2 linked regions of the Diceros bicornis minor genome follow. The protein of the gene in region 1 interacts with the protein of each later gene in a pairwise test. Links are inferred from orthologs where the notes say so. Each region holds a gene or a part of one and is shown on either strand. Other genes may lie near its edges.

Region 1 (7,255 bases):
CCAAAAATAGTAGAAATGACGTTCAAAACCCAAACACACACCCATGTACCCCGTGCAAAGAATGGCAGATAAACACGGAAAAGAGTTTCTGGCTAGGTCGGGATAGGACCTTTGCTGGGTTGGAGTTTGAGTCTTTTTCGTCTTACAGCCTTCTAGGGGCACTAGCCAAGAGTCTTCTTCCATGGAAGAAGTAGCTAAGGGCTTTTTCACCCCGGTTTCCTTCTGGTCTCGTCCTACCCCTCTTTCCTTCCCATCTCAGTTTCCTTAGCTCTACTAGGACAGACAATCTAAAAGAGTAAAACTCCTTTCCTTCTCCCGGTCGTTAAACTTATTTGGAGGGTACCGAAGTCGCCGCGCATTCGCGCGGAGTTCCCACGCGCCCGCTTCTGGTCTCCAACTTTCCCTACTCGCTTTCTCCCGGCATCTCTGAACTTTTCCCTCTGCGGAGAATGGTGGGGCAAGGCGGAACTGGGAAAGCGGGTGGAATGATCATTTCTACCCCGAAACTGACAAGTTACCCCACTCCCGCCCCCTCTTGGTAGATCCTCCCCCAGTGAGCGTTCATTAGCATAAAACTGGTCTGGCCGGGCTCCCGGTCCTGCGGCCTCCAGGGTTCGCGCGCTTTGCGAGGCTGGGGAAGCTACGGCACCGGGTATTCAGGTCCGCAGAGCATCCCAGTGCAAAGCCTGCGCCTGCTCACTGCGTGCGCTACTAACCTTTAAAGAAAAAGAAAAGAAAAGAAAGAAAGAAAAGAAAAAAAAACAGTTTGGTGGGAGAGAGAGCGAGCGAGGTGTGTTCTTCTTCCCCATCTTTGCAGTTCAGCTTCCAAGAGTCAGGCACCCGGTCACCTCCCCCTACAGAAGGAAACCTGCTAGTCCCCTCTCGAATCTGCCCTGGGGCAAATGTGCCCCTTTATCTCCTTTGCACACGCACACGCTCACACGCGGACACAAGCACACATGCGCGCACACACAGACCCCTCCCCTCGGCGGGCTTTCTCTCGGGGCTTCGGGGCTGAACTGGCTGCGGGTCCCCCGGGATTGCCCCAGGCCTCTCAGCCTCTGAGGTCGTTCCCCTCTCGACCTGGAAGCGGCCCACTCCTTAGGCTTCCTCGCGGGCCCCTCACCCGAGAGCGTCTTGGCGCTCCCCGAACCCTGCCGGGCAGGGTCACGACCTCTCCCCGCCCCCGGGACGCCGCTCGGCGCCGCCAACCAGCCCCGCCGGTGCCCTGCGGCTCGCGGTGGAACCCGGGTCCGAGGGAGCGCACACGCGGGCAGCAGCGCTGCGAGGGGTCCCCAGACGCTGGCGCGGCCCAGGAAGGGGGCTGTGGCTCCCGTTAAGGCACCGTGCTCCTCCTTCCCGCCCCCTCCGCCCCGAGGCTTGGGGTTCCCGCGTCCCACAGCAGCCAAGCCCCCGCGCCCAGGCGAGCAAGGGGCGGATCAGGCCGGAAGAGCGGGATCTGGGCAGGGTGAGGTGCCAACTTCCTAGACGGTCGAGAGCGGCTGGAGAGCCCGGAGGAAAGGGAGGAGAGGGCCGCTTTCGCCGGGGCGCGCGGCTCGCGGGCGCGCGGAGCAAGCGGCGCCGGGAAGGGAGCGAGGAGAGGGCAAGGAGGCATGTGGGAAGGGACCCAGGGTGGCGGAGGCTGTCCTCCGCTCTTTACCTTGCGTTGGTGCAGTCATTGTAGAGGGTCTCGAAGTCCTTCCTGGAGATGAGTTTGCAGCGGTTCACTCCAGGCTGGATGGCGCCCAGTCCCCTCAGGATGCGAACCTGTTCCACATTGCACACTACGGGCGTGATCTCCAGCCGCTTCAGCTTGGTGTAGACCGTGTGCAAGCCCCCCACCAAGTGCTTCAGGAACAGGTCGAAAGCCTGGGGCAGGCAGATCAGCTCGCAGCCCTCCACCGTGAAGGAAGCCACTTTGGCCCCCCTCAGATCCACCATTTTGCACTCATTATTCTGGGGGGTGTTTTCCACTGGGGACGGGGTCGAGTACACGGGTTTCCCGGGGAGGGGGCCGCAGCTGCTGCTGCTGCTGCTACTGCTGCTGCTACTGCTGCTGCTGCTGCTGCTGCTGCTGCTACTGCTGCCGCTGCTGCCGGTGCTCGCGTTGATGGGGGTGCTGGAGGCGCCGCCGCCGCCGCCGCCGCTCGCGGGCACCAGGCTGGGGTTGCAGTTGCTGCTGCCGCCGCCGCCGCCACCGCCGCCTCCGTTGCCCGCGCTGCCGCCGCCGCCTCCGCTGCCGCCGCCGCCGCCGCCGCCGCCGGTGGAGGTGACTGTGGCCGCCGCCGCCGCCGCCGCCGGAGCGATGGGCTCCGGCCGGAACAGAGTTGGCCCTGAGGACGCCGGGGGCCCGATGGACGGAGCCGGAGACGAGGTCGCCGAAGAGGTGGAGGTGGTGGTGCCGGAGGAGGAAGCAGACGTGGAGATCGGGGGTTGAGGGGGGACCAGCTGGGTCGGAGGGATCAAAGCCGCCGGCACTGCCATGGTCACATATAAGGGGAAACAGAAGGAGGAGAAGCGAGGGGAAAAGTTGCCACACACCCCGGGGAGGGGAAGGGGGAAAATAGGGGGAGAAGGAGCTAGGGGACAACAACAACAACAACTCCGGGAGAGAACGAGAAGGAGCAAGAGAGAGAAGGGGGAAAAAGGAGGTGAGGGTAAGAGAGAGAGAGCGCAGGAGGGGCGAGCGCGAGAGGCGCTCTGGAGAGAAACGCACAAAAGTGTCCCGCAAGTCGAAATGCGAGTCCTCTCCGGGGGCTGGGATCGGGGGCTGGTTTGGGGGGGGGGGGGGCGGGGGCGGGGAGGGTCGGCTGTTGTTGTGTGGGTCCCGCTCTAGCACAAAGTTAAGGATGAAGGTGAAAAGGAGGAGGTTTGAAGGACTTGGGTTCTCCCTGGCAAGTACATTGATCAAAGATTGAGAGGGGAATGACAGAGAGAAAATGAGCTGAAAAGTGCAGGCTGCCGGCTGGACGAGTTGTTGTTGTCACACGGTGCAGAGGGGAGGAGCTCCGGAAACTTGAAATACCCTTTGAAGCCGCAGAAACCTCACTCACTAGTATTAACCCAAATTATCCAACCAGGAACTCGGAGCAGAGACTCCGAGAGCGCGAGACAGAGGAAAAGCGAGTGAGCAAGGAAAGGAGGAGGGGTGGGGGAGGATAAGGAAAGAAACTATGGGAGGGACGGAAAGGAAAAGCCGGGGACACAGAAGTGGCGATCGGAAAAGGAGAGGGCGATCTATTTCTCTTCTACTACCGTTAGATTGCATGTCTAATAATTCCATTTCGTCCGCGACGACTCGTCATTTTTTCCAAAACCTTCTAAGCAATCGCCTGCCAACTTAAAGAGGAGCCAGAGCGCTCCGAGGTCTCCTTCAAGGATTTAGGATGTATCTCCGCTCGTTTTTTCCAATGAGATATCAATGAAAACATCCCCTCACTTCATAATTATTAAGAAAGTATTTTGAGGAAAATTCACATGTAAGCAAAGCGTTTGTTTTATGCATCTGATTGTTTTTATCTACCTATTAAATTATTTATTTTTATATAGATAGTGAAAATTCCAGGACAGTTTTCAAGTTGTGGGGAAAAAGTCAGTTTGAAACCGCTTAAATATAGTGGAATGCTCTGTATTTAGTTCGTTATTTCCTGAGAGATTATGGAAAGAAAGAATTGCTTGCCCTGATGTGGATCGCTCACAATAACTTCACTTGTGCCCCAAAGGCTGGTCAGAAATGCTTATTATACCAATACCAGACTTTGAAGAGACCAGGCACCCTTGAAGATTTAGAAAGTGGAAAACAAGAAAACACTGATTTTTCTTACTGAAAACTCGATAATTAATTCACCTGTCTTGCACAGTAACCAACTATCTTCACGTCCTTTAAGACCCAAGGCTAGCTGCTAGTGTTACATGAATAACAATATTTTTTTCATGTTTGAAAAGTATCAATATTTTGGGAAAGTTCTTTTCGATTTGTCAGTGAAAATGTGTTTTGCAAATAATGAAGAAAACAAAGCTGGCTAGCTGACCACAAACAGCGCAGCTCTGCTTCAATACCACACCAGGCTGAATGGAAACTGCCTCTCTTCCTCTTGGCCTTGCTCTCTTCTTTTCTTCCCTTTTCTAACTTGTTGCATGGAGGTATTTATTCAAGGATCTTTGACCAATATATGATTTGAACATAGATCAAGTCTGTTCTCTGTTTATAGCTCTAGGAATCTTAAATAATTAGGCTTTAAACCTGTCTACACATGTTCATTAACTTCACAAGAGAGAAACAATGCTTTAGCACTTGACAGATTTCGAAAATAAACTATTAACATCAGGTTCACAGTGTTGGGAAATTTCATAATGAAGTTTCTGCCATTTTGATGTCGAGATTATTATCATATTTCTCTTTATTATTTTAATTCTTTCAACTTTTTGAAGTTTGATGTCAAAAGGTGCAGGGAATGTCTACAGAGAAATAGGACACTTTTGACTAATTTGTGTAAGTTTCTGCTAAACTTTTTGGGGCATAGCAGTCATATCAGGAGGCCTCAGAATTCAGAAATTTGAATTCAGAAAATTGATTTTGCTAAAAAGTAGATAAACTTTTACAAAGATAACTAAACTTTACACAGTTGTTTGGCCTAGTTACCCAATGTATTTTAATATATTCAGAAGTAAGTTATATTAACTTCTCACTCCTCATATCTGTCCGCAATTAAAAATAGGAATTTGATATATATTCCATACATCAAAACACGTCTTTTAAGTGTTTATACGTGTTTTGGAAAATATTACCTTTTTTAAAAATGCCAAATTACTATGTTAATGAGCAGAAGACAGGAAGAAGATATTAAGCCCTGAAAAACTAATCTTCTTTTGGAATTGCATGCACAACTTTAATAAACTCCGATATAGTTTTTAAAACGCTAAACTACAGTTTCTTCATTTTAAATTCTAGACCCACAAATGAAAAAATCGAATTTAAATGCTGAAAATCTGCCCTTAGCATTCTCATTTCTCACATTTCCTTAAACTGTCACTCAGCCTGTACCTGCCACATTTGGAAGCCACAAACAGGGAGTAATGATAGCTCACTAAACCATAATCCCACCCTGCGTCCAAGCAAACTCCGAATTTTCTGCTGGGAACCCTGCGCCTCCCAGCACGTGCTCCATTCAGAAGCAGGGCTCGGGGTGTCTGCCCCCACCTGAATGGAAGCTTCCCTCCCCCTGCGCCCCCCCACCTCAGGTCTCTAAACCGTCTCTAGGAACTACCACTTACCCCTTTAACAAACAATAGGATTAGAAAAAGCATATAATGCAAATTAAAACACGTAGGAAAGAAAAGCCTCAAAAAATTTTTAAGATTTCTTTCTTCCTTTTTTTTTTTTTTTTGAGAAATGTTACCAGTGATTAAGGCAAACAGTATTTAACAACCACAGATAAATCAACTAGAGACATTTCAAATTCTCACTGTTTCCATTGCATCTTTAGCTTTCAAAGCTTTTGTCTTGTTTGTTTATTGTTTTTACATTTCTGGTTGTTTCAGGTCCTCTCCCTCCACCTCATCTTCTCCAACCTGCACTCAATTTGCATAAGCAAAACTCAAAGTACTGTAACTGATATTAGAAAATTCTCCCTGTGTTTTGTGAAGACGTATTGTGCTGAAATCAATAAGACTGTTTAAAATTCAAAGACCTGCAAATCGTTCTGTTTGTCCTTTGATAGGGCCTGTGCTGATTAAAATGCTACCAAGAAAGCTTAATTGCTGCACTAATTAAGAAGTCTTTAATTTCTTTCCTAGGATATCGTTTGAAGCTGAGCTTGTACCAGTTCAGGGAAGGTATTTTCTTCCCTCCCTCTGCCTCCTCCGGGCCCCTCCTCTCCCCTCCCCGCCCCCCTCCTCCCGTGTCCCCGACGGTATTCCTATGAATGGGAACTAATAGAGAGAGTGGACTCAGGTCTCACCATCTATTAGCAAAAATCGGCCCAGGATACAGAATTCAGTGCACTATGAAATGCAGTTTTGAAAAGTGCTGTAAGGTTGCATGAGACAGTAAGAAAATAGAGAGTAGCTGTTGCAGCAAAAGTCCCAGTGAATACCTGGATGACAACAGGCACTTTAGCCCGAAGATGAGGGCATCCTGTTTGGTTAAAAGGGGCAGTGACAAGGAAATGCTTTTACTGAAACAGGGAAACGTAAAAGTTATGCTTTCAAAACCTGTGGTTTCAAAACGAAGAATAGATTGTAGAAAGGTGGACTTATAGTTGGGATTTGGTAAGGATCATTTTATTTTATGTGTATAAAAACATGAATTCTATGGGGATTTATTTTTGACCCTTTTTATAACCCAGGGAGGCACAGCACTGTGTTACATCCATTCCATCCTTATCTATTGACCTATTTTTATTCACCGATTTCTCAAGTGGGGAAACTGACTAAATGATTTCACAAAGCTTTCTCTGTAATCAATAGTCATTTTTTAGCTTTATTCATGCTGCATTATAATTCTGGTAAATGACTGCAAAGCAGAAGATTGTAAGAAAGATACAAATATTGACAAAGCCAGGATAAGTCATGTCTTTAAGTCTTCAGAGTTTCAATACAGCAATTGATATAGTTATTTGAAAGAAAGATTGAAAATGCGTATTTCATAGAATATAAAAAACTAAAATGATTCAGTAACTTAAAGGCAATAGCTATCTGAATGTGTTTCTTGAATATCTTGAAATTTCCTGAAAGCTTTGAGTATCCTCTTTTTATAGCATCACTAAGTGAAACAGAAACAATTTGGGCAGATGCAGAAAGGGCAACAAGAAAAGGTTCATTACAATTTTATTCTTTTAATTTTTTCCCAAGTTCTATTAGAAGCATGCACAGAAAAACACTTCAGATCTATACTTCAGATCTATACTGAATTCCTTTCAGTGACAGGACAAGGAGATAACATGCTTAATAGATTCAAAGGGAGATTTACCATTCCGAGCACGACATCACTCTAATTATGTTTACTCTAATTGAAAGCAAGATTTTTTGGAATCTGAAATTACTTTCAGAATTTTTTTTTTAAATAATGCAAGTGGATCAAATGTTGATCACAAGCATTTCAATCTTTCAAAATGTATTGGAAAATTAAATGAAAAGTAGAGTTTGGTACAAACAATGCCCCAGGGCAAAAAACAACTAACACTAGATTTTCCAGTCCAGCCATAACACAAATCAATTTGAGCACACTTCTATGGCCAGACTGCCAGATTGTTAT
Region 2 (6,932 bases), on another chromosome or scaffold:
ATGAGAGGTGTGTATGTCCGTGCCTGGGATCTGAACCCGTGAACCCCAGGCCACCAAAGCAGAGCATGGGAACTTAACCACTACGCCACGGGGCTGGCCCTGAATCAGTGCTTTTTAATCACAGCAACTGAAAGATGCACTGTAATTTCAGATAATTTAAATATGGAAAAAATATGTAATGAGAATCTATAAAAAATTACTTTAATAAAACAACAACAAAAAATTACCACTCTGTCAATTAAAATATTGGGCTATAATTGCACTTGCAAATATGCTCCCACTTGACTAAAATATTTTTTTTAATTGAAATGTGTAAAATTGAAAAGTTAGGACACAGTTTTTCACATTATAAAAGGTGACACTACAAAATTTAGACAAATTCATTTAAAATGATTCCATTTTCAAAAAACAATTTTTGTCAGCAGATGATAATGGTTCAGCTTAAGCTGCATCCCTATCCCAAATAGAACACAGTGACAGGTTCTATTCGAGGTCAGTTAGTACCTGTTAATAACAACTAGAAGAAAAGGATATTAACACTGTAGTCTGTATTTCAGTTCAGAATTTGGAATTCATGGAAATCCCATTTATTCTCCAGGCGGTGGAGATGAGATTGCTGAAGGTGGATAAGAGGCCAAGATGTGGAACTCATACTAGATATACTATAGAAATCTTGCCATCTGCAGAAAAAAAATACAAAAGATGGTGTTAGGACCCTCTCCAAATTTAAATTCTGAATTTCCATTATCACACTTAAACACATCCTAACACACAGTCAATGCTAATCTACAGCTGCATATTACTGTCCTAGGACAGCCCAACTGAGCCACGTGGTTATAGAGGCATCTGCAGGTCCCCAGCAATGAGAGGCCTTCTTATCTGACTGCCTTCAGCCCTGGGAGGAGCTTAGGAGGAACACCAAGCTCATATGAGAGGACAGCACACTGTGCCCCAAAACAAACATCATCTTGGGTTGTTTTTTTCCTCCTTTCCTCTTCTGCTTCTTCTACTCCTTCATTTCCTATCCCCCTCCAGTTTTCCCTCTCGCCTATTAGCAGTATACTTCAAAACAAAACAAAACAACAAAAGCACTTGCACAACACACACACAAACTTTTAAGTTCTATTCTAAAGGCTTTAGAGGCAGGCTTCTTCACTGGGAGTGAGGGGGATGGGGTGGGTGGTCCATAGATGGGTTATGGAGAATCCTATGAACACCCTGAAATTGTATGCAAAAATATTATGTGAAACCATAATTTTTAAACCAGATTCCCAGATGTGTGACTCCCAAATGAGCTAAGAATGAAATACAGACTCAATTTACATTTATTGAGCACCTACTATGTACTGTATTTAGGTCCTTTCACATTACCTTATTTAATCTTAACAATCTTACCAGGCATAGTACATGGTGATAACACAAGCTTTTTGTTTCTTCCTGTTTAAACATTCATAAGTGGGGTGAGAGATGAATTTATAAAGTTTCTGGAGGTTAGTGTTCTCCATCTTGTCTGCACATTAGAATCACCTGAGGAGCTGCTTTTTAAAATTTCAATACCCAGGCTGTACTTTAGAGCAATGAAATCAAGCATCAGCACCTATCCAAGCTCTCCAGGTGATTCTAAAGCACCGCCAGGATTGACAAGCTCTACTCCAGCAGTGTTTCCCGTCAACAGCTCCTCATGCCCTACCCCACCAGACCCCAGCTTCTGAAGCTGCCACTGGGTCCCAACCCCTTAATTCATGATGCTGACCTACATTTCCTTCTGATTCTATCCACTCAGCCTTCAAGACCCACCTCCAAAGCCCCTATTCCTTGTAGAAATTTCCAATTAGACCTCGTTTTTCTCTAAACATCCCACAAACTTTTTTACTGTAACTTTCCTATGACATTCACATCCCACCTCGCATTACAGTAGTTTAAGAACTTGTACTTCCTCTCCTTCCAGACTACATTAGTTCCTTAAGGGCGAGGATCAAGTCTTTTGCATCTGTGTATTGTTCTCAGCATCTAGCACTGCCTTGCATTAGACACTGGAAAAAATGAGAACTTATTTCTAATTTTTGGGGTGAGATGCAGTGTGCTGAAATGGGGGACCAGAATTACAAGGTTCAGTTGCTGCTCTGCTACATCCCACTAGAAGCAGGAGACGTCGGTCGTCACAATAACAGCACGAACAGTAACAGTGAGCTCTTACCGTGTGTCAGGCATTGTGCTAAGCCCTTTAAATGCATTAACTCCTGTTCGAGTCCCACAACCCCAGGAAGCAAGTCGTATTACTACTTCCATGACACCGATGAGAAATGACAATTTAACTCCCTTTCTGGCCCAAGGTCACCCAGCTAATATTTAACTAAAGCTGGATTCAGACCACCCTGTTTCTTCATCTGTAACACAGGAACTAGAATAAACCCGGCGCCATTGGACGAGAGATATTAAGTTTAATATCAGTTCTGGCAAACCGGAAACCGCTACCCGAGTGAGGGAAGCCCCTCCTCCGCCGGGTCTCCCTCCGGCCTGGGAAAAATCCTACTCATGCCCCCAAGGCACACCCTTCGGACTTCAGCCTCGGAGTCAGCCGTGGCTTCGGGATCCGCACTGCCGCCGGTGTCTCCACTGCTCGCCACCCCGCGGGCCGAGTCGTTGTTTGTGCGACTCACCTACAACCGGGGGGCAGGCCCAAGCCTCGCAACCTGCCCGGCGCTGGGACAGAGGGCGCTGTGCGGCCGCGAGGGGCGGCCCCGGGCGTCCCGAAGGAGCAGGGCCTGGACCTTCTCCTTCCTCCTCCGAGCGCCCCGGCGGACCTCGGCCGGGCCGGGCTGGGGGCTCCCCGTCCCGGGTTTGGGGAGCTGAGGCCCACGGAGCAGTCCCGGCCCGGCCGCCCTTCTCTGCCTCGAGCGCCCGGAGCGCGGTCCCCACCGTACCTTCCGGCCACTAGGCCGTGCCGGGCCCGAAAGTTCCGCCCTTGCCCCAGGTTCCCTCACCGCCACTCTGGCCCAGCCTGCAGACACCCGGCTCCACCTGCGCGCCGCCTCTTCCGCCTTCGGAGCTGTCAGCTGAACGGGGCGGATCGGAGGGCTCTGCGCAGCCGCCGTGACCGCCCCCGTCCCTTGGTCGCCCCCTGCTGGCCGAGGCGGCGCCGCGGGCGCGACCACCGTCACCCCCACCGCTGCCTGCATGTCTTAGTATGCCTCTGGAGAAGTTGATGCATATGCAGATTCTGGGTCCCCGTGCCCAGGGGCCTCCTTTCAGTAGTTTTGGGATAGGGCCCGGGAATTAGAACTTTTACCAATCCCTGGAGGTGATCGTGAGGCAGCGGTCTACCTGGGGCAGACACTCCCCTAACAATCCAGACCTGCTCCTCCACGTAGGCTAAGCAAGCCTCCTCTCCCTCCCGCCATCCCAACTACCTTCTCAGAAATGCTGCTCATCTTTCTGACACCTCCACTAGGAAAGCATTCACTCATTGTTCATACTGTAATAGTAATAACTACCACGTTTATGGAGCAGTTAGGATGCTTCAAACACTTTGCTAAGTGCTTTATGTACATTTTCTCTTTATCTTCACTATAACCTTACGATTTAGATACTATTTATTATCCCCACTTTACAAATGAGGACGTTGAAATTTAGAGAGGTTCAAGAACTTACTGAAGGGCACATGATTATTGAGAGGCTGAGCAGGAATTAAAATTACATGCCCCCTACCTCATGCCATATACAAAAAATTAGTCAAGATGGATCAAAGACCTAAATGTAAGAGCTAAAACTATAAAGCTCTTAGAAGAAAATGTAGAAGTAAATCTTTGTGAACTTGGGTTAGGTAATAGTTTCTTAGGTACCACACCAAAAGCATAAGCAGCAAAAAAAAAAAAAAAAGATAAATTGGATTCATCAAAATCAGAAATTTTGTGCTTCAAAGGACACTATCAAGAAAGTGAAAAGACAACTCACAGAACAGGAGAAAATATTTGCAAGTCATGTATCTGACAAGGGTCTAATATTCAAAATATATAAAGAACTCCTGCAACTCAACAATAAAAAGACAACCCAATTTAAAAATGGGCAAAGGATCTGAATAGACATTTCTCCAAAAGAGATATACAAGGTCAGTAAGAACATTAAAAGATGCTCAACATCTTTAGTCATCAGGGAAATGCAAATCTAAACCACAATGAGAAACCACTTCACACTCACTAGGATGGCCATAATAAAAGACAGATAATAACAAATGTTGGTGAGGCTGTGGAGAAATTGGAACCCTCATCTACCGCTGGGAATATAAAATGGTGTAGCCACTTTGGAAGACAGTTTGACAGTTCCTCGAAAAGTTAAACATAGAGATACAATAAGATCCAGCAATTCTACTCCTAGGTACATACCCAAAAGAATTGAAAACATATGTTTGAACAAAAACTTGTACACAAATGTACAAGTACATTTGTATATATTTACATTTGTATATATTTATTTATGTATAGTGTACCTAAATGTACACCAAAGCAGCAATATTCACAATAGCCAAAAGGTGGAAACAACTCAAACGTCCATCAATGGATAAATGGATAAACAAAATGTGGAATACCCATACAGTGGAATATTATTCAGCTATAAAAAGGAATGAAGTATTGATGCATGCTACAACATGGATGGACCTTGAAAACGTTATGCTAAGTGAAAGAAGTCAGACACAAAAGGCCACATATTGTATAATTCCATTTGTATGAAATGTCCAGAATAGACAAATCCGTAGGGACAGAAAGTAGACAGCCAGAGGCTGAGGCAGGAGAGCATGGGAAGTAACTGCTAATAGGTGTGGAGTTTCTTTTAAGGGATGGAAATAATGTGGTATTAAATAGTGGTGATGGTTGCACAATTTTGTGAATATACTAGAAACCACTGGCTTGTACACTTTTAAAGGGTGAATTTTATCATATGTGAATTATATCTCAAAAAAAATTTAGGTACAAAGCACTGTTCTCAACACTTAAGCGGGATGCTGAAATGTTGGTTCCTGCTTCTGGGAACCTTCAAACTAATGTGCCCCTAATGATCTAATAAGCTCCTGTGTCCTTCTTATCATATACTTCTCCCCACAGGAAAGCAACCTGCGGAGCTAGGGCTCTAATCCAAGCCTACAGGATTCTAAAAGTTTTCACCACCAGTGCCTCCCAGGCAGGACTGGCTTCATGGGCCAGCCACCTGTGCAGTCACACAGGACCCTGTGCTCAGGAGGGCTTCAGGCTTAGAAGGACCCTGCTCTTGGTTTAATGCTCTGCTATGGCCATCTTGAAATTCTTCATACTTTTCGAACAAGAGGCTCTGAGTTTTCATTTTGCACTGGGGTCTGCAAATTATGTAGCTGGTCCTGCACCCAGGAGATAAGAAAAACCAAGTGGGTAAACTGAGGCACTAGAGGTGCTTACCTGGCTGCCACAGAGGGAAAACCTTGAAATGCAAATAAATAATCATTCCTAATTTTCTGTACTGTCACAGAACAGAAACCTAGCTACCCCTGTAATAGATACCAAAACCAGAAACATACTCCTTAAAAATGCAAAGGAAGGAAGAAGAATCTCTGAAGCCATTCACTAATATCATTATTCTTGTTTAGCCAAAAGAAATAAAACCAAGAGCAAAACGCCTGGCAGCCCTACCTCAGAGTGCTCAGAGGTGAGACCGTGAGTCCTGCCAGAGACCTTCCGATGCAAAAAGTGAGGAGCCTAAGAGTTAGCTCGGGAAATTCTCACAGAATCAGAGCAGGAGGTGAATTGTGACATCATGTCGTGACCTCATATCAGATGCCACAGGATGGAGGGCAAAGAAGAGAGACTTTCAAAGCAATGGTAATAGTTTGGATGAATGTTCAAATCGGACTCAATATTTAGAGACAAGTTTTGAGGTCAGGATTGGATAAAGAGAGTTTTCTAATAATTTTTATTTTTTTGACTACATAAAAATAACAGACTTTCATGTCTTTGGTTTCACGTGCCTGAATAGTCTTTTTGTTTTTTTTGTGAGGAAGACCCGCCCTGAGCTAACATCTGATGCCAATCGTCCTCTTTTTGCCGAGGAAGATGGGCCCTGGGCTAACATCCGTGCCCATCTTCCTCTACTTTATATGGGATGCCGCCACAGCATGGCTTGATGAGCGGTGCGTTGGTGCGGGCCCAGGGTCTGAACCAGCGAGACTTCAGGACGCCAAAGCGGAGCGTGCGCACTTAACCAATGCGCCACCAGGCCGGCCCCATCGTGTGCCCGAATGGTCTTTTAAATTGAGCTTTCCCCATGTGCCCAGCCTTCTACTGTGTTAAGAACTTTACATGCATTGTCTCATTTGAATACCCAGGACCCCATGACTGAGGTAATTTTGTATCCCCATTTTACAGATGAGCAAATTGGGGCACTAAGAGGAGAAGTGATCTGACCCGTGTCATACAGTGGTGACAGACAGGATTAAGACCATTTCCTCATCAGTGTGACCCTCTCCTGTAGCCTGTAAGAGAATTAGAGTTTGTTGTAACAAATACAGAGAGAACAAAATAGTTCTGGCCTTAAGAATTAAAAGAGAAAGCCCTAGGGAAGTTAGGAATAAAGTTTATGACATAATGATAGGCGAGAATGAGCATACAGAGAGAGAGAAAGAGACCCAAATCAGTTGCCTGTCCCCAGGGACACTAGATGATGGAGTCTAGGGCTAGGAGAGGGTGGCATGTGTGACCTAGACCTGAGGTCAGGACCCAGTCCATTGGGTTGAGAAGCAAGAGTGAGTCACAAAATATGTGTAGTGACTGTAGGGACTGGCAAGCCTTCCGTCAGTGCCTACGCTTCTTCCCATCCGTTGCTGGCGTCCAATGGATGTCCAGAAACTTTGCTGAGCTCATCCCACCTGCTCAGTGGGGGCAGCCTCCTTTTCAATGGCCACCACTCAC

What was found. The genes of interacting proteins can lie anywhere in the genome.
Region 2: the proteins of DACH1 (region 1) and RNF14 interact in binary tests that used the Homo sapiens proteins (3 or more experiments, as listed by UniProt). The two-hybrid records come from large-scale screens. The link is inferred for Diceros bicornis minor from reciprocal best matches to the Homo sapiens genes DACH1 and RNF14.

What each region holds. Positions count from the first base shown.
Region 1 is NC_080748.1:52,105,709-52,112,963, forward strand, and holds the start of DACH1 (dachshund homolog 1), read right to left. Parts: upstream 3,006-7,255; 5' UTR 2,485-3,005; coding exon 1,661-2,484; intron 1-1,660. UniProt on the Homo sapiens protein: Transcription factor that is involved in regulation of organogenesis. Seems to be a regulator of SIX1, SIX6 and probably SIX5.
Region 2 is NC_080740.1:60,077,762-60,084,693, reverse strand, and holds the start of RNF14 (E3 ubiquitin-protein ligase RNF14), read right to left. Parts: upstream 3,020-6,932; 5' UTR 2,985-3,019; exon of another isoform or gene 2,925-2,984; intron 2,918-2,924; exon of another isoform or gene 2,661-2,917; intron 681-2,660; 5' UTR 505-680; intron 1-504. UniProt on the Homo sapiens protein: E3 ubiquitin-protein ligase that plays a key role in the RNF14-RNF25 translation quality control pathway, a pathway that takes place when a ribosome has stalled during translation, and which promotes ubiquitination and degradation of translation factors on stalled ribosomes.